Anolis sagrei: one gene and its partners. The protein of the gene in region 3 interacts with the protein of the main gene of each other region in a biochemical or structural test. Links are inferred from orthologs where the notes say so. Each region holds a gene or a part of one and is shown on either strand. Other genes may lie near its edges.

What was found.
Region 1: the proteins of SUMO1 (region 3) and PIAS3 form a complex in vitro, tested with the Homo sapiens proteins (2 studies listed by BioGRID and IntAct, with this or other methods). The link is inferred for Anolis sagrei from reciprocal best matches to the Homo sapiens genes SUMO1 and PIAS3.
Region 2: the proteins of SUMO1 (region 3) and RAD51 form a complex in vitro, tested with the Homo sapiens proteins (2 studies listed by BioGRID and IntAct). The link is inferred for Anolis sagrei from reciprocal best matches to the Homo sapiens genes SUMO1 and RAD51.
Region 4: the proteins of SUMO1 (region 3) and PIAS1 form a complex in vitro, tested with the Homo sapiens proteins (6 studies listed by BioGRID and IntAct, with this or other methods). The link is inferred for Anolis sagrei from reciprocal best matches to the Homo sapiens genes SUMO1 and PIAS1.

What each region holds. Positions count from the first base shown.
Region 1 is NC_090032.1:21,885,514-21,893,297, forward strand, and holds the start of PIAS3 (E3 SUMO-protein ligase PIAS3), read left to right. Parts: upstream 1-4,715; 5' UTR 4,716-4,799; coding exon 4,800-4,823; intron 4,824-7,784. Other genes in the region: ANKRD35 (ankyrin repeat domain-containing protein 35), read left to right, coding at 219-308, 1,208-1,273, 2,349-2,411. UniProt on the Homo sapiens protein: Functions as an E3-type small ubiquitin-like modifier (SUMO) ligase, stabilizing the interaction between UBE2I and the substrate, and as a SUMO-tethering factor.
Region 2 is NC_090021.1:289,656,422-289,663,767, reverse strand, and holds the start of RAD51 (DNA repair protein RAD51 homolog 1), read left to right. Parts: upstream 1-4,247; 5' UTR 4,248-4,347; intron 4,348-5,987; 5' UTR 5,988-6,007; coding exon 6,008-6,094; intron 6,095-7,346.
Region 3 is NC_090021.1:165,250,422-165,258,713, reverse strand, and holds the start of SUMO1 (small ubiquitin-related modifier 1), read left to right. Parts: upstream 1-5,001; 5' UTR 5,002-5,195; coding exon 5,196-5,207; intron 5,208-8,292. UniProt on the Homo sapiens protein: Ubiquitin-like protein that can be covalently attached to proteins as a monomer or a lysine-linked polymer.
Region 4 is NC_090029.1:24,240,454-24,248,630, reverse strand, and holds the start of PIAS1 (E3 SUMO-protein ligase PIAS1), read left to right. Parts: upstream 1-4,897; 5' UTR 4,898-4,946; coding exon 4,947-4,970; intron 4,971-8,177. UniProt on the Homo sapiens protein: Functions as an E3-type small ubiquitin-like modifier (SUMO) ligase, stabilizing the interaction between UBE2I and the substrate, and as a SUMO-tethering factor. Catalyzes sumoylation of various proteins, such as CEBPB, MRE11, MTA1, PTK2 and PML.

The DNA of each region.
Region 1 (7,784 bases), on a different chromosome or scaffold from region 3:
CATCTAGTCCAGGTCTCCAGATAGACTTTGCATTGTAGAAATGGGATAGACTTCAGGGGTCATTTAAGATCATCTAGTCCAAGTTTGGAGGGACCCTAAAGGTCATCTAGCCCAAGTCTTCTGATAGTCATTGCATTATAGACTTTGGAGGGACCCCAAAGGTCATCTAGTCCAAGTCTCCTGATAGACATCACCATATATTTTCTGTTTTATCTCAGTTCAAGAAGCTGTTGAAGGAAACGGAGAAGCTTTCCAGCGAAATCTTGAACCTCCGGAGCGAACGCACCCGCCTCCGCCTGCAAAACGAGGTGAAATAAATATGGAAAAAATAAATAGAATTAATAATAATAATAATAAATGCAGGAAAATTAATAATAATAATAATTAATTTTCCTGCATTATTTATTTATTTATTTATTTATTTTTCCTGCAATTATTATTATTTATTTTTCCTGCAATAATAATCATAATAATTTTTCCTGCAATTATTATTATTATGAATTTTCTTGCAATTATTATTATTTATTTTTCCTGCAACATTAATAATAATAGCAGGAAAATTAATCATAATAATAATTATTATTGCAGGAAAAATAAATAATAATAATCGCAGATTTTTCCTGCAATTATTATTATTATGAATTTTCCTGCAATTATTATTATTATTTATTTTTCCTGCAATAATAATAATAATAATAATATTTTCCCTGCAATTATGATTATTATTAATTTTCCTGCAATTATTATTATTTATTTTTCCTGCAATAATAATAATTGCAGGAAAATTAATTATTATTATTATTATTATTATTATTGCAGGAAAAATAAATAATAATAATTGCAGGAACATTAATAATAATAATAATTATTATTGCAGGAAAAATAAATAATAATTGCAGGAAAATTAATATTAATAATAATTGCAGGAAAAATAAATATTATTATTATTAATAATAATAATAATAAATAATGTAGGATAAATGAAATATTCACAGAATATTCAACAGCACATACACTAAAATTGGAATGATACAGATTAGCAGAATTAACAATTAATTGAAAATCCAATTGGATATATAAATAATTTATCAATTACTTTTCCACCATCAACATTTAATAATATTAATATTCCTAGAATGCAATATATTCCTATTTTTCTGCAAATATTTAATATTAATAATATTTATATCAACATTTATCCTAACAGGTGGCCCAGAAAAACCATCAAGAGATTGTGGCCATTTACCGAACTCACCTGCTCAATGCGGCCCAGGTAAGACTCATATTATTATTATTATTATTATTATTAGTTCCCATATTTCTCATTATTTCTCTTGTCTTTTGGAGGCAAGTGGGAATGTTTCAATTGGCATTGAATGGCCTTGCATCTTCAAAACATTTATTATTATTATTATTATTATTATTATTATATAATTATTATTATGCTATTATTATTTCCAATATTTTCTATTATTTCTCTAGGTTCTCCAACAATATTTAATGCTATTATTATTATTATTATTATTTCCAATATTTTCTATTATTTCTCTAAGTTCTGCAACTATATTTAATAATAATAATAATAATAATCCTCATCATCATCATCATTAAATACTGAACCTAGAAAATCCTAGAGAAATAATGGAAAATATTGGAATAATAATAATAATAATAATATAAATATCACATTTATTATTATTAAATATTATTTATTTTATATAATTATTGTGCTATTATTATTATTATATAATATTATTTATTTTATATAATTATTATTATGCTATTATTATTAATTTCCAATATTTTCTAGTATTTTTCTAGATTCTCCAACAATAATTAATTTAATGCTATTATTATTATTATTATTATTATTATTTCCAATATTTTCTATTATTTCTCTAGGTTTAACAGTATTTAATTTAATGCCATTATTATTATTATTATTATTTCCAATATTTTCTATTATTTCTCTAGTTATTATTATTATTTCCAATATTTTCTATTATTTCTCTAGTTATTATTATTATAACCAATATTTTCTATTATTTCTCTAGTTATTATTATTATTTCTAATATTTTCTATTATTTTATGTGATTATTATTATTATTATTATTTCCAATATTTTCTCTAGGTTCTCCAACAATATTTAATAATAATGATAATAATGATACTATTAATGTTATTATTATTATTATTATTATTTGCAATAATAATCATATCATTATTATATATTATTATATTATTTTTGTGATATGAGAGCCAGCTTATGGACCTCATTTGCTGTGTCAGTATAATAAATAATAATAATAATAATAATAATAATAATGAAAATATGTCTCCAATTTAGGGCTTCATGGACAAAGAGGTGCACGAGATGCTGCTGCGGATCCTGAGGACAAATGACGACTGATGGGCAGAAAAATAAATAAAATGAGATTAAAATAAAAGTCAGTGGTCATCCTTTGTGATATTATACATTTTTCTCAGGGGAAGGGCTGCGAGTTATGGTTCTGAAAGTGTTCTACCATACAAGTCCCGTATCCACAGGGAAAGATTTCCGAATGTACTTTGGGAACAGCACACTACAGCAAACTCGGGTGGTGATGGCATGATCGTCAGCATAGATGAAGCTCTCTATCCCTTCTGCCAGTGGCTGGTCATTCATGTCAATGTTAAACTTGAGGAACCGTATTAAGAGGCATTAGGAAGGTTGGGAAACACTGACTTAAAGCTTTGGAGAGCTTCTGTTCAACCATTACAAAGCTCTCTGCTTCGGTGGTGATGGCACGATCATCAGCATATGTTAAACTATCCCTTTTGGCAGTCGCTGGCCATTTGTGTAGATGTTAAACACAAGGACGTGTATTAAGAGGCATTGGGGAGGTTGGGAAACACTGACCTAAAGCTTCGGAGAGTTTCTGTTCAACCATTACAAAGCTCCTTGCTTGGGCAGTGATGGCATGATCATCAGCGTATATTAAACTCTCTGTCCCTTCTGGCAGTGGCTGGACATTTGTGTCAATGTAAACATGAATGCTGCAAGCTGGTTTTCCCTGTAATAGGCAGTAAGAGAACCTAAAGCTTTGGAGAGCTTCTGTTCAACCATTACAAAGCTGCCTGCTTGAGTGGTGATGGCATGATCATCAGCGTATATTAAACTTGCTGTCCATTCTAGCAGCGGCTGGTCATTTGTGTCAATGTTAAACATGCACGGAGTAAGCACACTCCCCTGATTCAGGTCGTTTTTCTATCTTCGCCATCTGCTTCTCTGGCCCTGAAACTCAACAGAAAAGCTCCTGTTTTGTAGCAGATTTCCTATGAAGTCCTTTTTGATTTTATACATTTTTCTCTGCATTTTATATGTATTAGAAATCAGTCGATTTTCCCTGTAATAGACGGTTAGAGCACTTCAAGCTTCAGAGAGCTTCTGTTCAACCATTACAAAGCTCCCTGCTTGAGTGGTGATGGCCTGATCGTCAGCGTATATTAAAGTCTTTTTCCCTTCTGGCAGTGGCTGGTCATTTGTGTCAATGTTAAACATGAGGAATTGTATTAAGAGGCATTAGGAAGGTTGGGAAACATTGAGCTAAAGCTTTGGAGAGCTTCTGTTCAACCATTTCAAAGCTCTCTGCTTGGGCGGTGATGGCACTGTCATCAGCATATATTATTATTATTATTATTATTATTTCCAATATTTTCTATTATTTTATGCTATTATTATTATTTACCAATATTTTCTATTATTTCTCTAGTTTCTCCAACATTTTATTATTATTATTATTATTATTATTATTATTATGCTATTATCATCAATATTTTTATATTATTTCTCTAGTTATTATTATTATTTCCAATATTTTCTATTTATTATTTATTATTATTATTTCCAATATTTTCTATTATTTATTATTATTATTTCCAATATTTTCTATTATTTATTATTATGCTATTATTATTTCCAATATTTTCTATTATTTCTCTAGTTATTATTATTATCATCAATATTTTCTATTATTTCTCTAGTTATTATTATTATTTCCAATATTTTCTATTATTTATTATTATGCTATTATTATTAGCAATATTTTCTATTATTTCTCTAGTTTCTCCAACATTTAATAATAATTATAATTATTATGCTATTATTATCATCAATATTTTCTATTATTTCTCTAATTATTATCATCATCAATATTTTCTATTATTTATTTATTTATTATTATTATTTCCAATATTTTCTATTATTTCTCTAATTATTATTATCATCATCAATATTTTCTATTATTTATTATTATTATTATTTCCAATATTTTCTATTATTTATTTTTATTTTTATTCTTTCCAATATTTTCTATTATTTATTATTATTATTCTTTCAAGTATTTTCTATTATTTCTCTAGTTATTATTATTATTTCAAATATTTCTATTATTTCTCTAATTATTATTATTATTTCCAATAATTTCTATTATTTATTAATATTATTATTTCCAATATTTTCTATTATTTATTATTATTATCGTTCTTTCCAATATTTTCTATTATTTCTCCAGTTTCCCCAACATTTAGTAATAACTATTCCATCCTATTCTGCGTCTGCTGCGAGGGTTAGCTCTTTAGCGACGCTCCCTGGAGCTTCCCAAGCCGTTCTTTACCGAGGCTGCCTTCGGCCCCGCCCCTTTGTGGGCGTGGTTTCTGGAGGCCCCGCCCCCTCCTGCGTGGCTTTGGCTTCGGCTTCTTCTGCGCCTGCGCCTCAGCTTGGGAGTTTGCCTCCGCTCCCTAGCGAGGATGCCTCAAGATGGCGGAGGCGGCCGAGCTGAAGGTAGGCGGAAATCGGGGAGCGGGCTCCGAAAAAGGGAAAAAGCCGGCCTCGGGGGACCACGGGGGTGTCCCCAAAGGAAGCGGGGTGCCCGAAATATAGGGGGGCCCGGGAAGCCCGGCTCGGGGTGAAAAAGTACCGCCAAGGAGGCTTCGTGAGGGGAAGTAGGCCGCACAAGATGGCGGCGATTCGGGCTTGGGAGAGGGCGGAAGTGACGTCACGCAGGAGGAGGATCTCAAGGCAGAATGGTCAGGCTGATGTCAATAATATATAATAATAATGCCGTAAAATAAATATAATTATATTAATACAAGAATAACAGTATTTAATGTAGTATAGTTATAATAATTTTAATTAAAATAATATTAAATAGTAATGTAATATAATATTTATTAAATAATATTAAATAATAAAGTAATATAATAAGATTGATTAAAATGATATTAAATAGTAATGTAATAAATATAACATACTATAGTAATATAACTTAAAATATTAAATAATAAGGTAATATAATAATATTGATTAAAATGATATTAAATAGTAATGTAATATAATAAATATAATAAAATATAGTAATATAACTTAAAATATTAAATAATAATATAATATAATTAATATAATATAATATAGTAATATAACCCCTGCCCATCCTGGCTTCTGAAGGAGGCCAGAGGGGGATTGGCCGAGTGGGTGAAGGTGGTGGTTAATGCCTCCCTTCGGGAAGGCAGAATTCCAGCCAGCTTAAAGCAAGCTGTGATAAAACCGCTGTTGAAGAAACCATCATTGGACCCCACTCAATTTGACAACTTCCGGCCAGTTTCCAATCTCCCCTTTTTGGGCAAAGTCCTGGAACGTGTGGTGGCCTCACAACTCCAGGTATTCTTGAGAGACACGGATTATCTGGATCCGGCACAGTCTGGTTTCAGACCGGGACATGGTACCGAGACGGCCTTGGTCGCCTTAGTGGATGATCTGCGCCGGGAGCTCGACAGGGGGAGTGTGTCCCTGTTGGTGCTGCTGGACCTCTCAGCGGCCTTCGATACTGTTGACCACGTTATCCTTCTGGGACGCCTCGCGGGAATGGGTCTTGGAGGGACTGTTTTACGGTGGCTCCGGTCCTTCCTGGAGGGTCGCACCCAGAAGGTGTTATTGGGGGACACCTGTTCTACCTCACAACCTTTGTCTTGTGGGGTTCCACAGGGTTCAATACTATCCCCCATGCTGTTTAATATCTACATGAAGCTGTTGGGAGAGATCATCTGGAGGTTCGGGGTACAGTGCCATCTGTACGCGGATGATGCCCAACTCTGTCACTCCTTCCCACCTGCTACTAAGGAGGCTGTCCAGGTCCTGAACCGGTGTTTGGCCGCTGTGATGGTCTGGATGAGGGCGAACAAATTGAAATTAAATCCAGACAAGACAGAGGCACTCCTGGTCAGTCGCAAGGCCAAACAGGGCATAGGGTTACAGCCTGTGCTGGATGGGGTCACACTCCCCCTGAAGACACAGGTTCGCAGCTTGGGTGTGACCCTGGACTCATCGCTGAGCCTGGAACCCCAAGTTTCAGCGGTGACCAGGGGAGCATTCGCACAGCTTAGGCTCATGCGCCAGCTGCACCCGTACCTTGGGAAATCTGACTTGGCCACGGTAGTCCACGCTCTGGTTACATCCCGCTTAGATTACTGCAACGCTCTCTATGTGGGGTTGCCCTTGAAGACGGCCCAGAAGCTTCAATTGGTCCAACGCGCGGCAGCCATGTTACTAACAGGAGCGGGATGCAGGGAGCACACAACGCCCTTGTTGTACCAGCTCCAGTGGCTGCCGATTTGCTACTGGGCTCAATTCAAGGTGCTGGCATTGGCCTTTAAAGCCCTAAATGGTTCTGGCCCAAGATACCTATCTGACCGCATCTCGGCCTACGAGCCCACCAGGACTTTGAGATCGTCCGGGGAGGCCCTGCTCTCGATCCCGCCTGCCTCACAGGCACGCCTGGCGGAGACGAGAGACAGGGCCTTCTCGGTGGTGGCTCCTCGGCTGTGGAACGCCCTTCCCGTGGACATCAGACTGGCTCCTTCCCTAAAATAATAATACTGTAAATAATTGTAATTATATTAATATAATAACAGTATTTAATACAGTATAATTATAATAGTACTAAGGCAGAATGATGAGGTTGATGTAAATAATATTATAATAATAATATAACAATAATAATGTAATAATATAATAATATAGTAATATTATTAAAAATAATAATATTATATTATATAATAATATAATAATAAGGTAACAATAATAATGTAATAATAATATAGTAATGTTATTAAAATAATAATATAATTAAAATAATGATACAATAATAATATAACAGTAATAATATAATAATATAGTAATATTAAAAATAATAATATAATATAATTATATTACATAATAATATAATATTATAATAAAAATATATAACAATATAATTAAAATAATGATATAATAATATAACAATGATAATGTAACAATATAGTAATATTATTAAAATAATAATGTAATATTATTATAAAATATATAATAATATTATTAAAAATAATAATATAATAATATAATATAATGCCTCTAGACCATGGCCATATAGCCTGAAAAACCTACAACAACCCAATAATAATAATAATAATAATAATAATGCTGTAAAATAAATGTAATCATATTAATAGAAGAATAACAGTATTTAATATAGTATAATTATAATAATAAATAATACTAAATAGTAATGTAATATAATAATATTGATTAATATGATATTAAATAGTAATGTAATATAATAAATATAATATATAGTAATATAACTTAAAATATTAAATAATTTAGTAAATATAATATAATATAGTAATATAAAACATTAAATAAAATAATAAATATAATATAGTGATATAACTTAAAATATTAAATACTAATGTAATATAATAATATTGA
Region 2 (7,346 bases), about 120 Mb from region 3:
CTTTGGATTCAGCATTTTCAGTTTCATAGCTACACTTGCCCAGTAGAGGGCTGTTTTGATTCAGTAGTTCATGAAGACTTGGTTGAAATATCAAGTTATTTATTGGCTTTGCTGGCTACTTTGGGGGGGGGGGGGAGACCCAGAATGCAATTGTATGAGGATGTTCAAGGATAGATCTACCCTGAATGTGGCTATAAGCCAAGAGCAAAAAAAGTGCTAGTTATAACATGTGCAACTGTTAAGGCTTTTCCACATATTTTGATGTGTGCATACCACTATTTCACAAATATTTTCCTAGACTCTCACTGTTGGTTTTATTTATATCTATTATGAATGAATGCTTAAAACTCAATAGTTTGTACTCAAAATTTCAGCTTTTATTTACAACTGTCCTCCAAAAGAAATTATAATGTAGCTTCAAATCTTAAACAAGCATTTAAAATATTTAGCACTCCCTGTTGTTCTATCAGAAGTGAGCGATTTTACAGAATGATTTACCATAACTCTATTCTCTTGCCATACCACTAAGAAGGCAATTTTGTCAACAGAGCAACTGTCCCACTGTATTTTATGCCAATTCTTGGACTTGAACCATAGTCTCCGTAAACTTTATGAAACTTTATGAAGAAAAGTAGCTCAAAATGAAATGGTGGGTTCAGCCACTTTTTAATGTATATATATTGCTGTTGTTGTTGTTGTTCATTCGATCAGTCGTTTCTGACTCCGTGACCTCATGGACCAATTCACGCCAGAGCTCCCTGTCGGCCGTCACCACCCCCAGTTCCTTCAAGATCAATCCAGTCACTTCAAGGATCCCATCCATCCATCTTGCCCTTGGTCGGCCCCTCTTCCTTTTTCCTTCCATTTTCCCCAGCATCATTGTCTTCTCTAAACTTTCCTTTCTTCTCATGATGTGGCCAAAGTACTTCATCTTGGCCTCTAAAATCCTTCCTTCCAATAAGCAGTCGGGCTTTATTTCCTGAAGTATGGACTGGTTGGATCTTCTCGCGGCCCAAGGCCCTCTCAGAACTTTCCTCCAACACCACAGTTCAAAAGCATCTATTTTCCTTCACTCAGCCTTCCCTATCCAGCTCTCACATCCATAAGTGACTATGGGGAATACCATTGCTTTAACTATGCGGATCTTTGTTGCCGGTGTGATGTCTCTACTCTTCAATATTTTATCAAGATTGATCATTGCTCTCCTCCCAAGAAGTAAGCGTCTTCTGATTTCCTGGCTGCAATCTGCATTTGCAGTAATCTTTGCACATAGAAATACAAAGTCTGTCACTGCCTCTACGTTTTCTCCCTCTATTTCCCAGTTATCAATCATTTCAATAGTTTATTGAAAAAATGAAGAGAGTTGATTGCTGCTATATCACACCACCGAAGGACTCCACAAACCCTGCACTGGTTCAGTACTTTCGATACCATTAAGTATTGCCTGAAAGGATGGCAGATTATATAACAAGAACATAACAAATTATAACATGGACAGAAAATCCACACAAGCAATGATTAATGGTTTCCACTACGTTTTCTATTCTGTGTTCATAAAAGGAATCAAAGACAAGCCGCTTTAACCAGCATACCTTAGAATTGGTGGTTAACACTAATTCTTACCCAGGCTTTGCTGAGTTTATTTTGGCTGAAAATTTTAATCTACTGAAACAATTACTTGCTATCTGAATGGACAAATAAAATCTTGTGAATTTAAAATAATTGATGCTGTCAGCATTTTATAAGTTGTGGTGCCATGGTTTGGCCTCCTACACAGCAAGGAAAGACCTAAAACTAAAGATAGAAAAAAAAGTCAGCCACATTTAAATATACTGATTTCCTGCTCATGACCTAAATGTGAGAAATTGGACTCTTATGTCAACTCAGTTAAATATCAAGTATGATTGAAAGTTAATAGCAAACGTTTCTGCATCCTTCAGATACCCAGTCACGTCTTAAACCTATCTAGGAAGAGTTGCATAACATAAAGTGTAAAGTTATATAAATACCAAGGTCAGGATCATCCACTGCAAAGGTTTTCTGATTTCTATATATGTTTTGAAGCTGGATAGTGGAGATCAACTCATTTTGAATGTGCTACTAGAAGACACATGGATGACATGGATCATCCAAATGAGAAATAAATGGGTCTAGGGCAAATCAAGCCTGAATTCTCACTGGAAATTATGGTGATTAAACAGATTATTGCAGTGGAAACATGTTAAGAAGCAACACGACTCATTGGTAAAAAAAAAAGGGGGGGGGGCAATTAAGTGCAAGAGGCTAATTGCAATGGAGGGACATTTATAATAATAATAATAATAATAATAATAACAACAACAACAACAACTTTATTTATACCCTGCCACCATCTCTCCAAGGGGACGCAGGGTGGCTTACATATGGCCAAACCCACAATACAATACATCAAAATACAATAGAACACAGCAATAAATAAAATAAAAATAAAATACGAAGCATTATAAATACTACATCATCAATATAAAATTGTAACATTTAAGATGGAGAGATAAATCTCAGTGGGCAGGGCCAATTCCAAAGGATTAAAAAATTAAAAACACTAGGTGAGAGAGCAATAGTGTGTGTCTGGACAGGGGATCTGGGGATAAGTGAAATTTAATTGCACTACTAGGAGATATAAAATGCTTGTGAGGGCATTTGCAGGACTTGGTCTGCTTCTGGGCCTAGGTGTATATCAACAACACTAATTGCTAATTAATATCTACTCATGTATTTCATTAATAATTAATACAATGTAAATAACAATAATGCATCTATAAATAAAAGTCCTTTCTAGGAGTGCATCTACACCAGGCATGGGCATGGGGACGAGGAGCAGGGCCTTCTCGGTGGTGGCCCCTCACCTGTGGAACTCACTCCCGGGAGAAATTGGGGCATCAACATCCCTCCTCCCCTTCAGGAGGAAAGTAAAGACGTGGTTGTGGGACCAGGCCTTCGGGCAATCTGACAACTAGATAAGGACAATCAAATGACTAGGACTGACAGGACTGACAATGTGGAATTGGAATTTGGAGTATGAGATAGTGAATGCTGACCGTCTATGAGGAGTAATTGGGTTTGTCTTGTTTTATTGGTTTTATTATTATTATTATTATTATTATTATTATTATATTATTATAACTTTATTTGTACCCCGCTAGCATCTCCCAAGGGCCGAAGCCCCAAAACACAATACAAAAAGTACAATACCTAAAGCAAAATTAAAAACAGTTAAGCAGAAAAAACAATAACAGTAACAATACAACAAGACACTATTAAAACTGGGCCGGCCAGAGTAGGGGTACAGGATTAAAAGTGCTGATGTGGCGGGAGGAAAGTAGGATTATAATATAAGTGCAGTGTGCAGTGATCTTGGTTCTACTAAAGTGCTTCTAGGATTTGGTGCTGGAGGTTCCTAATCTGGAAAATTTTATTGGTTTTAGGGTTGTAATGCAGGAATTGTTGTTTAACTGTTCAACTGTTTAATTGGTGTTATTTTGTTTTACTACTGTTATGTGACGCTGGCACCGAATTGTGCCTTTGTAAGCCGCCCTGAGTCCCCTTCGGGGTGAGAAGGGCAGGGTAGAAGAAACCGAAATAAATAAATAAATAAATAAATAAACTTCAGCCCTCCAGGTGTTTTGGACTTCAACTCCCGCAATTATTTACAGCAAAATCTGACCATCAGTATTTTTTTAAAAAAAACTCTAAAATCAGGCCAGTAAATAAAGAACAACACAAAAAACAGGCAAGAATCAATCAGGGCCAGCTAACACCTCCCAACAAAGGACCCCCAGGCAGCAACCAGCCAGGCTTTGAAGCTCCAAGGCCATTGAATGCTAATCAAGGTGGCCAATTGCAATATTCACACAGACAAGAGTTCTTTTTCCCAACCTGGACATTCCAGATATATAAACCTCACTTGCCTAGTTTCCAACAGACCTCACAACCTCTGAGGATGCCTGCCATGGATGTGGGCGAAACGCCTAGAGAAAGAATGCTTCTGAAACATGGCCATACAGCCCGGAAAACTCGCAACAACCCAGCGATTGCGGCCATGAAAACCTTCGACAACACTTTTCCAAAAGGTGATGTCTGGCTGCAAAAGAGCCTCTTGGAAGAAGGGAGGGGAGAGAGGGCAAGTATAGAGGCGGTGCGCATGCGTAACGGGGGGGGCAAGCTCACGCCGGAGCGGACCAGTCAGCTCGCAGCAGAGGCGTTACTCTTCAGGAGAGCGCAGTCACGTGACGCAGTGGCGGGCTCTTCCGAATTTGTGGGCGGAGAGGAAGAGGAAACAGGGAAGCAGACGGGGCCTGAACCACTGAGGTAGCTTCATTCTCCCCACCCCCTCCATAATTCATATTCAGAAACAGATAATATTGGGGGGCTCTCCCCTCGGCTTCCTCCTGCTTTGAGAAGTTCTTGTTTTGTTTTTCAAAGGAAACGTTTGCCTTCCACTCAGAGTGGGAATGATGTTGGCTGAGTGAGGCCGCCATTACTGGGCAAAGAGAGGGCGTTTGGCCAGCTGTGGCTTCTCTTTCCTGGTGGGACAAGGGCCTGCGTAGAGACTGGGAGAGGGGTATCTTTTCAGACTACAACTCCCAGAACCTCACAATGGTCCACAAGTGTGGCTGAGAGAGTGAGTCCATTTACTACACCAGGCCTGGGCAAACTTGGGCCTTTCAGATGTTTGGACTTCAACTCCCATCATTCCTAACAGTCTCGGGCCCTTTCCTTTTCCCCCTCAGCCGCTTAAGCTGAGGGGGAAAAGGAAGGGCCCTGAGGCTGTTAGGAATGATGGGAGTTGAAGTCCAAAACATCTGAAAGGCCCAAGTTTGCCCAGGCCTGGTCAGCATTAATCCTGCAGTGTAGAAATACCCAATATTAGCTGTATGCTTTTTTGTATAGGAAACCCAAATGAATGATTTAAATTGGTATTATTATAGCATACTAGCCGTCCACACGTTGCTGTGGCCCTCAGAAAACAGAGGAATTCCAGGCATGAAACAATAGACAGAAGAGACATGTGGAAGGCCATTGATAGACGGAACTGAAGGTAGATGGATAGAACATAGGTAAGGTAGAGAGATGGATGGTCAGATAGACAGACAAAAGTGGGTTGGACTAGATGGCTTTTGGGTCTCCCTTCCAAGTGGTTGGCCATTTGTCAGGTAGGCTTTGATGGTGTCTTCCTTTACTGCCCAATGAGGTTGGACTGGATGGCCTCTGGTGCTCCTTTCCTACTGGATAGCCATCTGTCGGGAGGGCTTTGGTGGTGTCTTCCTTTACTGAAAAAAGTGGTTGGGCTGAATGGCCTATGGGGCACCTTTAATAATAATAATAATAATAATAATAATAATAATAATCTTTATTTATAACCCACCGCCATCTCCCCAAAGGGGACTCGGGGCGGCTTTAACTACCATGGCTCAATGCTGTGGAATAGTTCCACGCTGTAGACCAGGTAGGGACAGATTTGGCCTCTCCAAGGGTTTTGGACTTCAACTCCCACAATTCCTAACAGCCTTTTGGGGTTGGAGTTGTTTTTGTCACTGTGTTTTTCAGTGTTTTTATGAGTGATGGTCACTCGTTGACCTGATAGGTGTCAACGAGTGACCATCAATTCATCCAGTGGTTTTTGAGTTATGTTAATTCCACAAATGAACATTACATTTTATTTATGTAGAGGGTTTGACTGCCCAATAAAAATACTAGTAAATGTGTTTATTTATTTACTCAATTTATACCCTGCCTTTCTCACCAAGTAGGGGACTCAAAGTGGCTTACATATATATAGGCAGCGATCCAATGCCATACGAACATACATCAGTAAAATAAACATATACATTGAAATAGTCATTTAAAACATATCAAACCTTTAAACCACTTATTTACAAATGGAGTCTTGTACCAAACAAGCTCTGTGAAACATCCCATCATTTAGCAGACTTTTCCTGTTTTATTAGAAACATCAACAACTTTAGCCATGGCCATGCAAATGCAGAGTGACACAAGCATAGATGCATCAACAGAAGAGGAAAGCTTTGGCCCTCAACAAATTTCACGGCTGGAGGTATGTGGTGTTTCTTACGAAATATATGTTTGTGTTGAATTCATTAAGGAATGCTGATAAGTATTGCAACTGGCTGGTCTGGAGTGAAGGGTCATCACTAGGTGAAGGGTAAACAAGGGGAAGGAAGATAGAAGTAAATAACAAGTATGTAATACAGCTAGAGGGCCCCCAGGTGGCACAGCAGTTTAAACTACTGATCTGGGGAAATTGCTGACCAAAAGGTTGGTGGTTTGAATCAGGGAAGCGCAGTGAACTCCTGCTGTTAGACCCGGCTCCTGCCAACCTAGCAGTTCGAAAACATACAAATGTGAGTAGGTCAATAGCTACCACGCTGGCAGGAAGGTAACTGTGCTCCATGTAGTCACGCCAGCCACATGACTTTGGAGGAGTATACGAGCAACACCGGCTCTTCGGCTTAGAAATGAAGATGAGCACCACCCACCCCCCAGAATCGGACATGACCAGACAATGTCAGGGGAAATCCTTACCTTTAATAGAGCTAGAGGATGAATGCCATATATTATAGGACGCAAGACATAACATATTTCTGTATTGCAATCTGTTATGGGGAAATGGTACATACAAGAGAACGTTGCAATGTACCTGCTTGGGGAATGGCATACCTGTATTATATGTACTTGATTATCCCTAGTTTTCTTTTTAATGTTTTGTATGTCATCAATTCACTCAATAAAAAACCTTTAAATTAAAAAAAAGGAATACCAACAATTCTTTTTTAAGTGTAGCGTTTAAATACTTCATTTATTTCAGATTTTTTTTACCCCACTTTTCTCCACAAGTGCACCCAAGACAGCTTATAACATACAAAACAGATGTTAAAAACATAGTTAAAATCAAATATTTGATATAACCAATGCTAGTTTCAGTACAAGGAATGCTATTGTGGTTTTTAGTTTTGGTGAACTGAAAAAAACTTTTATCTCAGGACCTGCTCACCACCAATGAGAACTTTAATTAAACTCTGGTTACATTTATTTATTTTAAGGTATTTCAGAGACACCTGTCTTGTACAATATATCCAGGCAATGCAACAATAATAAAAAGTATATTCACAATAACTACAAACCTTAAAGAAAACAATTGACTTTTAAGTTATGATACACCATCAAACAGAGGCCAATTATAAGAAGTGTTTGATGTTGAACTGAATCAATGTTGGTATTATTTTGGATGAGTAAATGAGACAGGTATTCCAGAAAACAGGTGTTTTCCTGGGGAAAATTGTAGAAAA
Region 3 (8,292 bases):
AAAACCAAAGTGCTCCTCCAGCAGTCACCAGCCAACCCCTTTCCAATGCCAGAGATACAGCTTAATGGTGTAACATTAGAAAATGTTGACCCTTTCCGCTACCTTGGCAGCCACCTCTCCACCAAAATCAACATCGACACTGAAATAAAACACTGCCTGAGCTCTGCGAGTGCAGCATTCTTCCGAATGAAGCAGAGAGTGTTTGAGGACTGGGACATCCATAGGGATACCAAGGTGCTTATCTATAAAGCTATTGTCCTCCCAACTCTGCTATATGCCTGTGAAACCTGGACTGTCTACAGACGTCACATGCAACTCCTGGAACAATTCCATCAGTGCTGCCTCCAGAAAATCCTGCACATCTCTTGGGAAGACAAGCAGACAAACGTCAGCGTGCTGGAAGGAGCAAAGACCACCAGCATTGGAGTGATGGTCCTCTGCCATCAACTCCGCTGGACCGGCCACGTTGTCCGGATGCCCGACCACCATCTCCCAAAGCAGTTGCTCTTCTCCAAACTCAAGAATGGAAAACGGAATGTCGGTGGACAGGAAAAGAGATTTAAAGATGGGCTCAAAGCCAACTTTAAAACTCTGGCATAGACACTGAGAACTGGGAAGCCCTGGCCCTTGAGCGCTCCAGCTGGAGGTCAGCTGTGACCAGCAATGCTGTAAAATTTGAAGAGGCACGAATGGAGGGCGAAAGAGAGAAACGTGCCAAGAGGAAGGCGCGTCAAGCCAACCCCGACTGGGACCACCTTCCACCTGGAAACCAATGCCCTCACTGCGGGAGAAGATACAGGTCAAGAATAGGGCTCCACAGTCATAGAATCATAGAATCATAGAATCAAAGAGTTGGAAGAGACCTCATGGGCCATCCAGTCCAACCCCCTGCCAAGAAGCAGGAATATTGCATTCAAATCACCCCTGACAGATGGCCATCCAGCCTCTGTTTAAAAGCTTCCAAAGAAGGAGCCTCCACCACACTCCGGGGCAGAGAGTTCCACTGCTGAACGGCTCTCACAGTCAGGAGGTTCTTCCTCATGTTCAGATGGAATCTCCTCTCTTGTAGTTTGAAGCCATTGTTCCGCGTCCTAGTCTCCAAGGAAGCAGAAAACAAGCTTGCTCCCTCCTCCCTGTGGCTTCCTCTCACATATTTATACATGGCTATCATATCTCCTCTCAGCCTTCTCTTCTTCAGGCTAAACATGCCCAGTTCCCTAAGCCGCTCCTCATAGGGCTTGTTCTCCAGACCCTTGATCATTTTAGTCGCCCTCCTCTGGACACATTCCAGCTTGTCAATATCTCTCTTGAATTGTGGCGCCCAGAATTGGACACAATATTCCAGGTGTGGTCTAACCAAAGCAGAATAGAGGGGTAGCATTACTTCCTTAGATCTAGACACTATGCTCCTCTTGATGCAGGCCAAAATCCCATTGGCTTTTTTTGCCGCCACGTCACATTGTTGGCTCATGTTTAACTTGTTGTCCACGAGGACTCCAAGATCTTTTTCACACGTACTGCTCTCGAGCCAGGCGTCACCCATTCTGTATCTTTGCATTTCGTTTTTTCTGCCAAAGTGGAGTATCTTGCATTTGTCACTGTTGAACTTCATTTTGTTAGTTTTGGCCCATCTCTCTAATCTGTCAAGATCGTTTTGAATTCTGCTCCTGTCCTCTGGACTATTGGCTATCCCTCCCAATTTGGTGTCGTCTGCAAACTTGATGATCATGCCTTCTAGCCCTTCATCTAAGTCATTAATAAAGATGTTGAACAGGACCGGGCCCAGGACGGAACCCTGCGGCACTCCACTTGTCACTTCTTTCCAAGATGAAGAGGAAGCATTAGTGAGCACTCTCTGTGTTCGTCCACTTAACCAATTCCAGATCCACCTCACCGTAGTTTTGCCTAGCCCACATTGGACTAGTTTCCTTGCCAGAAGGTCATGGGGGACCTTGTCGAAGGCCTTACTGAAATCCAGGTACGCTACATCCACGGCATTCCCTGCGTCTACCCAGCTTGTAGTTCTATCGAAGAAAGAGATCAGATTAGTCTGACATGACTTGTTTTTGATAAATCCATGTTGACTATTAGCGATGACCGCATTTGTTTCTAAGTGTTTGCAGACCACTTCCTTAACAATCTTTTCCAGAATCTTGCCCGGTATCGACGTGAGGCTGACCGGACGGTAGTTGTTTGGGTCATCCTTTTTTCCCTTCTTGAAGATTGGGACCACATTGGCCCTCCTCCAATCTGCTGGAACTTCTCCCGTTCTCCAAGAACTCTCAAAGATGGTTGCCAATGGTTCCGAAATGACTTCCGCTAGTTCCTTCAATACTCTGGGGTGTAGTTGATCTGGCCCTGGGGACTTGAACTCATTAAGAGCGGCCAGGTATTCCTGAACGACTTCTTTCCCAATTTGGGGTTGGATGTCCTCCAAACCCTCATCCACTCCATCTTGCTGAGGTTGAAGACTCTCTTTTTGTGAGAAGACCGAGGCAAAGAAGGCATTAAGTAGTTCTGCCTTTTCCCTATCCCCTGTCAGCATTGCCCCATCTTCTCCTCGAAGAGGTCCTACCGCCTCCTTGTTTTTCCTTTTTCTACTGACATAAGAATAGAAGCCCTTTTTATTGTTTTTAATGTCCCTGGCAAGTCTGAGCTCGTTTTTTGCTTTAGCCTTGCGGACCTTTTCCCTACAGGTGTTGGCTATTTGTTTGAATTCTTCTTTGGTGATTTCTCCCTTTTTCCACTTCTTGTGCATGTCTCTTTTGTGTCTTAGCACAGTTAGAAGTTCTTTGGACATCCATTCTGGCTTCTTTGCACTTGTCCTATTTTTTCTCTTTGTTGGCACAGTTTGCAATTGCGCCTTGAGTATTTCACTCTTGAGAAATTCCCATCCATCCGTAACTCCCTTGTCTTTTAGTATCTGTGTCCACGGAATGCTGCTCAGCGTTTCCTTCATTTTTTGGAAATCAGCTCTCCTAAAGTCCAAAATGCGGGTTTGACTTGTCTTAGTTTCGGCCTTCCTTTGTACCTCAAATTGCAGGAGCACATGGTCACTTGCCCCTAAGGATCCTACCACTTCGACCGCATCGATCAGGTCCTCCGCATTTGTTAAGATGAGATCAAGAGTAGTCAATCCCCTTGTTGCTTCTTCTACCTTCTGGACCATGAAATTGTCTGCAAGGCAAGCGAGGAATTTGTTGGACCTTGTACTCTTGGCCGAGTTTGTTTTCCAGCAAATATCGGGATAGTTGAAATCGCCCATGACTACTACATCTCTTCTCTGTGCCTGTTTGGTCAACTGTTGGCAGAAGACTTCATCAAGTTCTTCCTCCTGGCTTGGGGGTCTGTAGTAGACGCCTACAACGACATCTTTTTGAGTCCCAGTTCCCTTGATTCTTATCCAGATGATTTCAAGCTGGTTTCCCAGATTGCTGTCTTGAATCTCTTCTGTAGCATAAGAGTTTTTGACATATAAGGCTACTCCGCCTCCTCTCCCCTTTGTTCGGTTTCTGTGAAAGAGGTTATACCCCTCGATATCTACATTCCAGCGATAGGAGTCATCCCACCAGGTTTCAGTGATCCCTATGATATCATATTTGTGGTGTTGTGCTAAAAGTTGGAGTTCGTCTTGTTTATTTCCCATGCTCTGTGCATTAGTGTAAAGACATGTGAGCCCCTGAGATCTTCCCCTGAGCTGTTTAATTGGGATTATTGTGCTTTGGGTACTTGGTCCTTGTTGTGTTTGTGCAGCCCTCCGTTTAGCCTTCTGGCGATTCCCAGATATTGTGGGTAAAGTAGTGTTCGCAAGTCACCTACAGACTCACAAGAATTCTGATCCTGGAGGACTATCCTACTCCGCCGACGAGGGATCGCCTAAGAAGATATTCTGGGATATAGGGCTGTGTGGAAGGGCTCTTGAGTCCACACTCAGGTGCATTGTCTGCCTTGATAGTCTGGGCTATAGGGTGTGTGGAAGTGCCCTGAGTCCACACTCAGATGATGTGGGATTCCCTGCCTTGATATTTTGGGCTATAGGGCTGTGTGGAAGGGCCCTGAGTCCACACTCAGATGATGTGGGATTCCCTACCATGCTATTCTGGGCTCTAGGGCTGTGGGGAAGGGCCCATAGTCCACACTCAGATGATGTGGGATTTCCTGCTTTGATAATTTGGGCTGTAGGGCTGTGAGGAAGGGCTCTGAGTCCATACTCAGATACATTGTCTGCCATGCTATTCTGGGCTATAGGGCTGTGTGGAAGGGCCCCGAGTCTACACTCAGATGATGTGGGATTCCCTGCCTTGATATTCTGGGCTATGGGGCTGTGTGGAAGGGCCCCGAGTCTACACTCAGATGATGTGGGATTCCCTGCCTTGATATTCTGGGCTATGGGGCTGTGTGGAAGGGCCCTGAGTCTACACTCAGATGATGTGGGATTCCCTGCCTTGATATCCTGGGCTATAGGGCTGTGTGGAAGGGCCCTGAGTCTACACTCAGATGACGTGGCATTGTCTGCCTTGATATTTTGGGCTACAGGGCTATGGGGAAGGGCCCTGAGTCCACACTCAGATGATGTGGGATTTCCTGCCTTGATATTCTGGGCTCTAGGGCTGTGTGGAAGGGCCCTGAGTCCACACTCAGGTGATGTGGGATTCCCTGCCATGCTATTCTGGGCTATAGGGTTGTGTGGAAGGGCCCTTAGTCCACATTCAGATGGTGTGGGATTGCCTTCCTTGATATTCTGGGCTATAGGGCTGTGGGGAAGGGCCTTTAGTCCACATTCAGATGATGTGGGATTGCCTGCCTTGATATTCTGGGCTATAGGGCTGTAGGGAAGGGCCCATAGTCCACACTCAGATGATGTGGGATTTCCTGCTTTGATAATTTGGGCTCTAGGGCTGTGTGGAAGGGCCCCTTCTCGGCCTGTTTTGCTTGCTTCCCCTCCCTTCCTCCCTCTGCGCGTGTAGGAAGTGAGCTCAGGCGGCAGAGAGGAAGTCCCGCCCCCTCCTTGCCCTGCGCTCTCGCCTCTCTTGCTGGCTCCGCGTTTGGAGGAGGAGGAGGAGGAGGAGGAGGAAGGCAGGAGGGAAGGCGCCTAGGGGTCTCTCTCTCGGGGCAAGGCAGGAGGTGGAGAGGGGACGCGGCGAGGAGGAGGAGGAGGGCGGCTGCCTGCCTGCCTGAGCCCGCCACCCATCAGGATGTCGGACACGGTAGGAGGACGCCTTGCCCGCCGGCCCCGGGAGGCCTGTTTCCGCGGCTCCCCTCGGGGAAAACAAAGGCGGGATCCGCACCGCCGCGACTCCAGGCCATGCCGTTCTCGGCAGTGCAGGATCCAGCCAAGATGGGGAAGGCCAACCCACCATTCCTTGCCTTGCCTGCCTTCCCTCCTCTTCCCTGCGAGGCTTGGCTTCAGAAGAGCCTTCCTCTCGGCTTCCCTTTCAAGGATCCCACCCCTTCTCCCTCTTCCTTCCTTCCTTCCTTCCTTTGCGGGGATGATCTGGACTTGGAGTGAATGGAAAAGGAGGCCGAAGTCTTCCTCCTGGGCCTTGTTTTGTTTACTTGCCAATACACCCAGACCGCAGTGCACGAGTTGGGTCTGTTTGTTTACTTGTCTCAGCGCCGGAAACGAAAGAGGATGACATAGGCCTGCGTTTAGGGGGTGTTTTTTTTTTAGTCTTAGACCCCCATCTAGACTGGATCTACACTGCCATATAATCCAAGGCCTTTCCACACAGCCACATGACACAAAACATCATGGCAGGTAATCCACAAAATCTGATTTGAACCGAGTTATCTGAGTCCACACTGCTATATAATCCAGTTCATTGTGGATTTTATACCGCGATGTGGAAGGGCCCCCAGATTATCAAAGCAGATAATAATCCACATTGTCTGCTTTGAGTTGGATTATAGGAACCCCCCTTCCACATAATCCAGATTATCTGCTTTGAACTGCATAATAGGATGCCCATTCTACACTGTACTATAATCTAGATCAGGGGTCCTCAAACTTTTTAAACAGAGGGCCAGGTCACAGTCCCTCAAACTGTTGGAAGGCCAGATTATAATTTTTAAAAAAATGAATGAATTTCTATACACACTGCACATACCTTATTTGTAGTGCAAAAAACACTTAAAAACAATACAATTAAAATGAACAATTTTAACAAATATAAACTTCTTAGTATTTCAGTGGAAAGTGTGGGCCTGCTTTTGGCTGATGAGATAGGATTGTTGCTGTTGCTGTTGTTGTTGTTGTGTGCTTTCAAGTCATTTCAGACTTAGGTTGACCCTGAGCAAGGGCCGGATAAATGACCTTGGAGGGCCGCATCCGGCCCCTGGGCTATAGTTTGAGGACCGCGACCTAGATTGTCAAAGCCGACACTTCATATTATTGAAGCAGATTTTCCACTTTGAGCTGGATTATAGAAGGCCCCTTCTACCCTGCCATATAATCCAGATTATCATATCAGATAATCCACGTTATCTGCATTGAACTGGATTATAGGAAACCCCTTCAACACTGCCATATAATCCAGATCAGGGGTCCTCAAACTAAGGACCGGTGGCCGGATATGGCTCTCCAAGATTATTTACCCGGCCCTCGATCAGGGTCAATCTAAGTCTGAAATGACTTCAAAGCAGATAATCTGGATTGTATTTGGTAGTGTAGAAGGGACTCAAGTCTCATATCCATACTATAGTTTCTGAACACAATGGTTCTGTTTCTGTATCTAGATTTAGTATGAATTCTGTAAAAGCAATTCTTCCAAATGCTACAAATCTTTTGTCTTCCATCATTACTATTAATTACAATTTTTCTTTTGTCCACCTTTATTGTCCTCTAATTCAACCTTGCAACTTTTAATTTACTTCTCATTGCAAGTGGCAGATTTGAAGTACGGGTAACGTACTATATTTACATCGCACTAGTGAGTTGATCCTTAGTTTTTATTATTGTATTTTGATTCTGAAGTTAACAGCTCTTATAATTCTCAGAGCAACTTTTGTAGCTGATAGTCAAGATACTTCAGAAGATGCAAAAGACCATCAAAGCAGTAGGGAAACAAAACAACAAACAAAACAACTGGAAGCAAAGCTTCTGAATATATGCTGCATTAACTGCAGTGACAACATCTCAACTCCAATATGCAGGTTTGCAAGTTCTTATTTGTGTTTAATTTTTTCATGATTAAATACATATGCATTATGCCTGCCAGGATTTTCCATAGCAGGGTATCGTGTAAAAGGTTTCTACCTGGTTTCTTAATACCAGATGGAAACTTAAGTACATATTTATTTGGCATATTTTCAGCTTTTCAGAGAAGTTTATACCATTTTACCATTGGCTTCTATGAGCAACCCAAGGCACCCGGCTTTCTTTTAAAAAAGAACCAGAAGTTGGGTAATGCTTACTGTTGGTACCAGATGCTTGCCCTTATGTTTCTAGTTGTTAACTTTTCTGATTGGAGGATTACTGTATTTCTTTGATTCTGAGGTGCCATTGATTGTAAGACATACACTAATTTCAGTACTACCAAAATAATAATAATAATAATAATAATAATATTACATTACATTTTTTGATGTCAGGACTTGAGAAACTGCAAGTTGCTTCTGGTGGCCCTCTGCAAGGATGTTGCCCAGGGGATGCCCTGGTGTTTTACCATCCTGTGGGAAGCTTCTCTCATGTCCCTGCATGAGAAGGTGCAGCTGATGGGAGCTCACCCCGCTCCCCGGGTTTGAACCGATGATCTTTCGATTAGTAGTCTTGCTAACACAAGGATTTAACCCAGGGCTCCTCAAACTTTTTAAACAGAGGGCCAGGTCACAGTCCCTCAAACTGTTTTTATGAGTGACCATCACTCATAAAAACACTGAAAAACACAGTGGAAAAGACATTAAAAGCAAAAAAATAAATAAAATAAAAATACATATCACAACACATGCACATAACCACCTAAGTACACATATACACAAATATATACACATACACAAAAAAACACATGCACAGACTGGGCTACAGCAACGTGTGGCAGGGGACAGCTAGTCTATATAAATAAAAATGTAATGTTCGTTTGTGGGATTAACAGAACTCAAAAACCACTGGGCGAATTGGCACCAAATTTGGACAGCATACACCTAACAACCCAATGTATGTCCTTCACTCAAAATGTTTTGATTTTGTCATTTAGAAGTTGTAGTTGCTGGGATTAATAGTTCACCTACAATCAAAAAGCATTCTGAACCCCACCAACGATGGAATTGAACCAAATTTGGCACACAGCTCTCCCA
Region 4 (8,177 bases), on a different chromosome or scaffold from region 3:
AGGAGCATCGCTTCAATGCTGATGGTCTTTGCTTCTTCCAGCACGCTGACATTTGCCTGCCTGTCTTCCCAAGAGATTTGCAGGATTTTTCAGAGGTAACACTGATTCCAGGAGTTGAGTGTGCGGTGTGTAGAAAGTCCACATTTCACAGAAATATAACAGGGTTGGGAGGACAATAGCTTTATAAACAAGCACCTTGGTCTCCCTACGGACGTCCTGGTCCTCAAACTTGGAAGACTCCTGTGTGCGAATTTTTTAATGTGTGGAGGTTAGTGCACAACCAATCAGCACACGGTCTTCACAGAGTGGGGTGCACACCTTATTCCGCCTTCACAGCCGTTGTAACATGTATCATGTTATCTTCCGCTTGCTCCACCATTGAGGTCTTTGTATTGTTCTTAGTCTGGATTCTCCCCTGTGGCCCCTCCTAGGAGTACATGACTCCAGTGGTTACACCCGCAGGTTCATTGGAACACGCAAGCCCCCTCACCAGGACAAGGTGACAATCTGTCGAGCACTTATGTAGGAGGTACTCAAAGGCTGCGTGTGAATGTCCCCATAAATAAATACCTAAAATAACATAATAATAAAATAGAGAGGAGAGAATCATAGAGTTGGAAGAGACCCCAAGGGGCATCCAGTCCACAAATACGTAACCAAATCACTCTTAGCAACCTTTTTAGTTAGATATAACCACATAATATATTTTTCATTAGGCCAGTTTATATATATATATATGCTGTGTCAATATTGCTAAAAGGTAAAGCTTTGTGTTCATTTACCTTCTAATGTGGATATGCTTCATTATTACCCAGCTTCAACTGTACTGTGCAGTTTCATCTGTAGGGACTACAAAAATGTGCTCTTTTCACTGTTGCTGGTTTTTAGTCACTGGTTTTGTCAAATTTTCTGGTTGAGCTGATATAAATCACCTTCCAGAATCTATCTCAAATGGGGAGGAATAATTCCACTCCAGGCACTGCCTGAGCTGATGTCACAGAATGTCCATCACAATTCTAATAGTTGTTATTGTTATTAAATAACAATAGTTTATCAACAGTTGTCATTATTTGCTGTCATGTGAATGCTATATGGAAGACAGCAAAACAGTTCTGCTCAGACCTTGCAAATTCAGCAGCCATGGCTCCTATGACCGAATCCATCCAGTTGCAGTGCAATCTTCTATGAGTTCCATTAAGTACCTTCGTGTCACGATACGTTCAAAGTATAGAGGCCTCAGTTTTACCATTATTTTAGGTGACACCAAAATAATGGCCTATAAAATGTTGGGGAAGTGTTTCCGCAGAAATGTATTCTTCTTTTAAAATATTTTGTGGTGAAATGCAACCACAAAACGATGTTTCCATAAGCTCAGCTTCACATATCAACATAGCAGACAGAGTTTTCCTATTCCTTTATCTAATTTGTTGTCAACCCACTCCATTGGGGCTCACACAAATCTACCATTTGTCAAAATATATATGATCCTGTGCAATTCCTTCCAATTTCTGGCCGATATATATATAAGCACACACACATATATTCCTACTAGCCGTCCCCTGTCACACATTGCTGTGGCCCAGTCTATGTATATGTGTTTATGTTTGTATATGTGTGTTTACGTATGTATATGTGGTTTTGGCATGCGTTGCAATGTAAATTTTGTTTTTTGGCTTTTTAAGTCCCTTCTACTGTGTTTGTCAGTGTTTTTATGAGTGATGGTCACTTGTTGGCATGAGAGGTGTCTTGTGTCCAGATTTGGTGTCAATTCATCCAGTGGTTTTTGAGTTATGTTAATCCCACAAACTAACATTACATTTTATTTATGTAGATACTAGCTCTCCCCTGCCACGCATTGTTGTGGCCGTCTGATGACCTGGAAAATCAAGTAATGAGAAAGTGCTGGTTTCTAATATATGTAATGTCTTTATGCTTGTGGGTCAACAGTATTTCTTGCTGTTTCTTTGTCAGTGTTGATGTGGAGATTGTCTGATTTGCCTACTTTGGAACATGCAAGATGGAAATTGTCCTTCTTTAGGGGTCCCTTTCAAATCTATACTATATCTCTCTGTGTGTGAATCTATCTAATCTATGGCTGGATGGCTCTTTGTCAGGAGGGCTTTGATTACGTTTTCTTGACCTGGTGGAGGGAGTTGGACTGGATGGCCTTCAGTATGGGGGTTCCGTGTGGGAAGTTTGCCCCAATTCTGTCGTTGGTGGGGTTCAGAATGATCTTTGATTGTAGGTGAACTATAAATCTCAGTAACTACAACTCCCAAATGGCAATGTCCCTCAAACTCCATCTGTGTCCATATTTGGGCTTATGGAACATTCATGCCAAGTTTGGTCCAGATCCATCAATATTTGAATCCACAGTGCTCTCTGGATGGAGGTGAACTACAATTCCAAAACTCAGGGTCAATGCCCACCAAACCCTTTCAGTATTTTCTGTTGTCATGGGAGTTCTGTGTGCCAAGTTTGGTTCAGTTCCATTGTTGGTGGAGTTCAGAATGCTCTTTGATTATAGGTGAACTATAAATCCCAGGAACTACAACTCCCAAATAACAAACTCAATTTTTTGAGTGATGGTAACTCCTTGGGTTAGTAGGTGCTGTGGCCGACCTTCCCTCCCTCTTTCTCTCTCAACTTCCTTCCTTCTCTCCCTCTTTCCTTCATGCCTTCCTTTTTTCCTTTCCATCTCACTTTCCTCCCTCCTTTTCTTTTATTTTCCTTCTTTCTCTCCTTTCTTCCTTCTCTCCCTTTCCTTCCTTTGCTCTTCGCTTCCATCCTTCCTTCTCTCTTTCCTGCTTTCTTTCTCTCCCTCCCTCTTTCTTTCTCTCCTTTCTTTGCTGCTTCCCTTCCTTCCCTGCTTTACCTCTTGCCTGGGTGCTGGAAGGAAGGATCCTCGGAGCCAGGCGCAGAGCAGGCGAGAGGGAGGCGCTTCTTTCTGCCATGGCTGTGGGATGCCTCTCGAGCTGGCTGTGCTCGTGCGGCGGGGATGGGGGAGAAGATAATGCGTTTGGATGCATGCACAGTGTTCTCTTTTAAAATTTAAGGTCTTGCTGTTTTTTGGGAGGATTTTTTTTGAGTGCAGAACATAGATTGCTCTGAATGCTGTGTTCTGTCCAAATTTGGTGTCAATTCCCCCAGTGGTTTTTGAGTTCTGTCAATATCACAAACGAACATTACATTTTTATTTGTAAAAGTCCAAACTCTTTGCCATGGCTGTGGTGAGGTAAAAGCGAGGCCTTTATCTTGAATACAGTCAACTGTTTTTTTGCAGTCTGTGGGCTCCACAAATCCTCAAAGGAGTCTATTTTTCCGATTCCGATTTGTGGTGGATCTACTCATGCAAATCTACCATTTGTCTTAATATATATGATTTTATGCTATTCTTTTCCATTTCTGGCCTATATAGACATATATAGAGACTCCCAAAGGACAGTCCTGATTATTCGCCATGGCCGTGGTGAGGTAAAAGTGGGGCCTTTATCTTGAATACAGTCAACTATTTTTTTCAGTCTGTGGGCTCCACAAATCCTCAAAGGAGTCCATTTTTCCGATTCCGATTTGTGATGGATCCACTCATGCAAATCTACCATTTGTCATAATATATATGATCCTATGCTATTCTTTTCCATTTCTGGCCTATATAGACATATATAGAGACTCCCAAAGGACAGTCCTGATTCTTCGCTAAGGATGTGGGGAGGTAAAACTGAGGTCTTTATCTTGAATACAGTCAACTGTTTTTTTGCAGTCTGTGGGCAAACAATTTTTCCTATTCTGATTTGTCGTTGATCCATTCCATGGGCTTAGAATCATAGAATCAAAGAGTTGGAAGGGAACTCATGGCCATCCAGTCCAACCCCCTGCCAAGAAGCAGGAATATTGCATTCAAATCACCCAGCCTGTTTAAAAGCTTCCAAAGAAGGAGCCTCCACCACACTCCGAGGCAGAGAGTTCCACTGCTGAACAGCTCTCATCAGGAAGTTCTTCCTCATGTTCAAATGGAATCTCCTCTCTTGAAGTTTGAAGCCATTGTTCTGCGTCCTAGTCTCCAAGGAAGCAGAAAACAAGCTTGGTCCCTCCTCCCTGTGGCTTCCTCTCACATATTTATACATGGCTATCATGTCTCCTCTCAGCCTTCTCTTCTTCAGGCTAAACATGCCCAGTTCCTTAAGCCGCTCCTCATAGGGCTTGTTCTCCAGACCCTTGATCATTTTAGTCGCACTCCTCTGGATACATTCCAGCTTGTCATCATCTCTCTTGAATTGTGGTGCCCAGAATTGGACACAATATTCCAGGTGTGGTCTAACCAAAGTGGAATAAAGGGGTAGCATTACTTCCCTAGATCTAGACACTATGCTCCTATTGATGCAGGCCACAATCCCATTGGCTTCATGCAAAACTACCATTTCTCATGACATATATGATCCTGTGCTATTCTTTTCCATTTCTGGCTTATGTAGATATATATAGAGACTCCCAAAGGACAGTCCCGACTCTTCTCCATGGATGTGGTGAGGTAAAAGCGAGGCCTTTATCTGGATCACAGTCAACTTGAGGCTCTTTTTCCTTCACAAGCCTGGAATCCAGTGGCTAGGCGCGCTTCTTTCTGCGCATGCGCCTTCCCAGAACCAGCCTGAAGTTCTCCTCAACACCCCTTCAAAACGCCATTGACTTCATCCTCACCGTGGTTATGAGGAAAATGAATGTAATATGTGTACAATATCGAGAAGTCTGGGTTACGGGGCGACGGAGGGGGGGGGGGGGGGTTGGGACTCCTTTCCCGCCTCGGGTCCCAACCCCGCTTTGAGGCGGGACCCAAACAAAATGGCGGCAGGCGCGGCGGCGCCGATTCAAACGCAGCGCGCGCAGGCCGAGGCGGCGGAGGGGGCGGGGTTCTCGGTGGAGCCCACTGCGCATGCGCCCCGCGATTCAAGATGGCGGACAGTGCGGAACTAAAGGTAAAGGCGCAGTTCGGAAGGGGCCCCCTTTTCCCCCCGCAGCTTCCTTCTCCTCGTCCCCCCTGCTTGATTCCCCCTCTCCCCTTCTTTCTCTCCGGTTCTTTCCCTCAGGCTTCGGGCCTTTCCCTTCCTCTCGACCCTCCGCCGGCCTCCTGGCCTGAGAGGGAGAAAGGAGAGTTCGGCTGAGGGAGGAAAAGGCGTTCAGGAGGGGCAGCTTCCCTTCTCTTCCCTCAGGAGCTTTGTAAATGGGAGGGAGACCCCTAGGAGGCCCCCCTGGCCCCCCAAAGGAGCTGTTTCCCTCAGGAAGGGTCTTCCCTGCCGCCCTGCGAGGTAGGACACGCATTCTCTATTTCCTCCCGTTTCAGAAACTGGCTTCATAGATCCCTGGCAGGCAATATTGATTTATTTACTTATCTGAGTCGATTTGTACCCCGCTTTTCTCCCGCACCAAGGCGAGACGCAAATGCAATAAGAACAACAACTAATACTCCAGAGCAGGCATGGGCAAATTCGACCCTCCAAGTGTTTTGGACTACAACTCCCACAATTCCTAAGTTTTCCCATGCCTGGTCCAGATCAAGGGAAGTCTTAGTGCCTTTGTATTCTGCTTTGGTCAGACCTCACATGGAATTCTGTGTCCAATTCTGTTCACCACAGTTCAAAAGAGATAAAGGTTAAACAGGCATTCGGTTAAACAGTGCAATGAATACGATGAATATAGGAACGGAATCACGGATGACGAATTGGACTACGATTCTAGTTACGAGACGTTAATGTGTTGTTATTGATGTGTTATTACTTTTATACTATGCTGTTAATGGTTTTTAAACTATGCTGTTGGACTGACTTTTTGATCTTGTTGTGAACCGCGTTGAGTCGCCTACGGGCTGAGAAACTGCGGTATACAAGCAAAGTAAGTAAGTAAGTAAATAAATAAAGTGCTGGTTTTGACCTATAAAGCTCTATACCAGTGGTTCTCAACCTGGGGTCCCCAGATGTTTTTGGCCTTCAACTCACAGAAATCCTAACCAATGATAAACTGGTTGGGATTTCTGGGAGTTTTATTTATTTATTTATTTACGGCATTTATATGCCGCCCTTCTCACCCCGAAGGGGACTCAGAGTGGCTTACAATATATATTTTCATACAATATATTATATTAGCATAGTACAATATCAGTATATATTGCTATATTGCACTATACCATTATATTGTAATATTATTAGTAATATTACATGTAATGTAAATATATAATTATAATTATAATATTGAATTATTATTACTAGTATTATATTGTATTACATTATAATGTTATAAATATTATATGTATATACAATATACTATATTATATTATTAGTAAATACAAGATGGAAATGTCTTCTGCTCCCTTCTGTCTTCGCTCTGGCCAGAAGCGAAGTTGTTGGAATTGTAGGCCAAAAACATCTGGGGACCCCAGGTTGAGAACCACTGCTCTATACGGTTCTGAACCAGCTTACTTATTCGAACGCATCCACCCCTATGTCCCTCCTCGAAACCTAAGATCATCCGGGGAGGCCCTGCTCTCGCTCCCGTCAACAGCACAAATGCGCCTGGTGAGGACGAGAGACAGGGCCTTCTCAGCAGTGGCCCCCCGCCTATGGAATACACTCTCAACTGAGGTAAGATCGGCCACTTCCCTCCTAGCTTTTCGTAAGAAATTAAAGGCATGGTTTTGGGGCTAGGCTTTTGGACAATAGATGCAAGCAGCACTTTAAGGGAATGTGCCTGGAATGATGATATGGCTGATGAGACTGTTTTACTGTTTTGACAATGGCTTATGTATTGTTATTTATGCTTTTATGTCTAATTGTGGTTTTAATTTTGTAATTTGTTATGTAGTCGCTTCGGAATGGGGCCGTTCTGAGTCGGCCCCATGGGGCCGTCCTTCTCAACCTTCAGGGGTTGAGAAGGATGGGATAGAAATGCGAGAAATAAATAAATAAATAATATTGACTCTAAGCTTGGTCACCCACCAGAGGAGGGTGACCAAAATGATCAAATATCTGGTGTCTTGTTTAGTTTGAAAAAAGAGAAAGTTGAGAGGAGACATGAAAGCCATGTATCAATATGTGAAAGGATGTCATAAGAGAGGAGGGAGCCGGCATCCTTTCTGCTGCCTCGGAGACTAGGACTCAGTGGAGTAATGAGTTCAAATGACAGGAAAGGAGATTCCACCTGAACACGAGGAAGAACTTCTTGATTGTAAGAAGGGCTGTTCATCAGTGGAACTCTCTGTCATGGAGTCTGCTGGAAGCTCCTTCCTTGGAAACTTTTAAATAGATGCTGGGTGGCCATCTGTCAGGGGTACTTTGTGCTTTTCATGCATGGCAGGGGGTTGGACTAGATGGCCTGTGTGAATCTATGATAATTATTATCTTCAAACTTTATTTATATCCCATCCCATCTCCCTCTGGGGACTCAGGGTGGCTTACAACATAGATGGCAACCATTCGATGCCACACAAATACATAACAAAATACAAATACATAATAAATTAAAAATACAAATAATTAAACAATTTATCATAATGAAACATCATAACAAATCAACAAAACATGATTCACGGCAACAATTAAAAGCAAGATTAAAAGCCAGGTTGATAGATTAAAAACCATATTTTTCATTAAAGCTCTATCTGTAGACCATTAATTGTGTAGAAAGCCAGATATTGAAATGTTTGATTCTCCATAAACCTGGGAGCATAGATAACTTTTAGTTGTTTTTTGAAAGAGGGGAGCATGGGGGTCATTCTGATCTCTTTTGGGTGAGGGTTTCAGAGGTGAGGGCAACTACAGAGAGGCCCTTTCTCTCATCCCAACCAGCTGGAAGGCCAAGAGGAGGGTCTCACTTGATGAATGCAGTGTCTGGACAGGTTCATATGAGGAGAGGCCGGTGGCCAGGTAGTAAACTTTTTAAAAATGTAAAGTAAAATTTAAAACAGATTAAAACTCGATAAATTCCTTATCACAATCTGATTATCTAAAACTGTCAGTGATAAAAAACCCTATTTACAAATATACCTATTTAAAATAATTCATTAACCGCATTGGGAGACAAATTTCTGTACTCTTGGATCTAGAGAGATCCGTGGTCCATCTACAATTTTAATTTCCCCCAAAGGCCTCTTCAGACATAAAAGTTTTCACTCCTTTCCTAAATGATAAAAT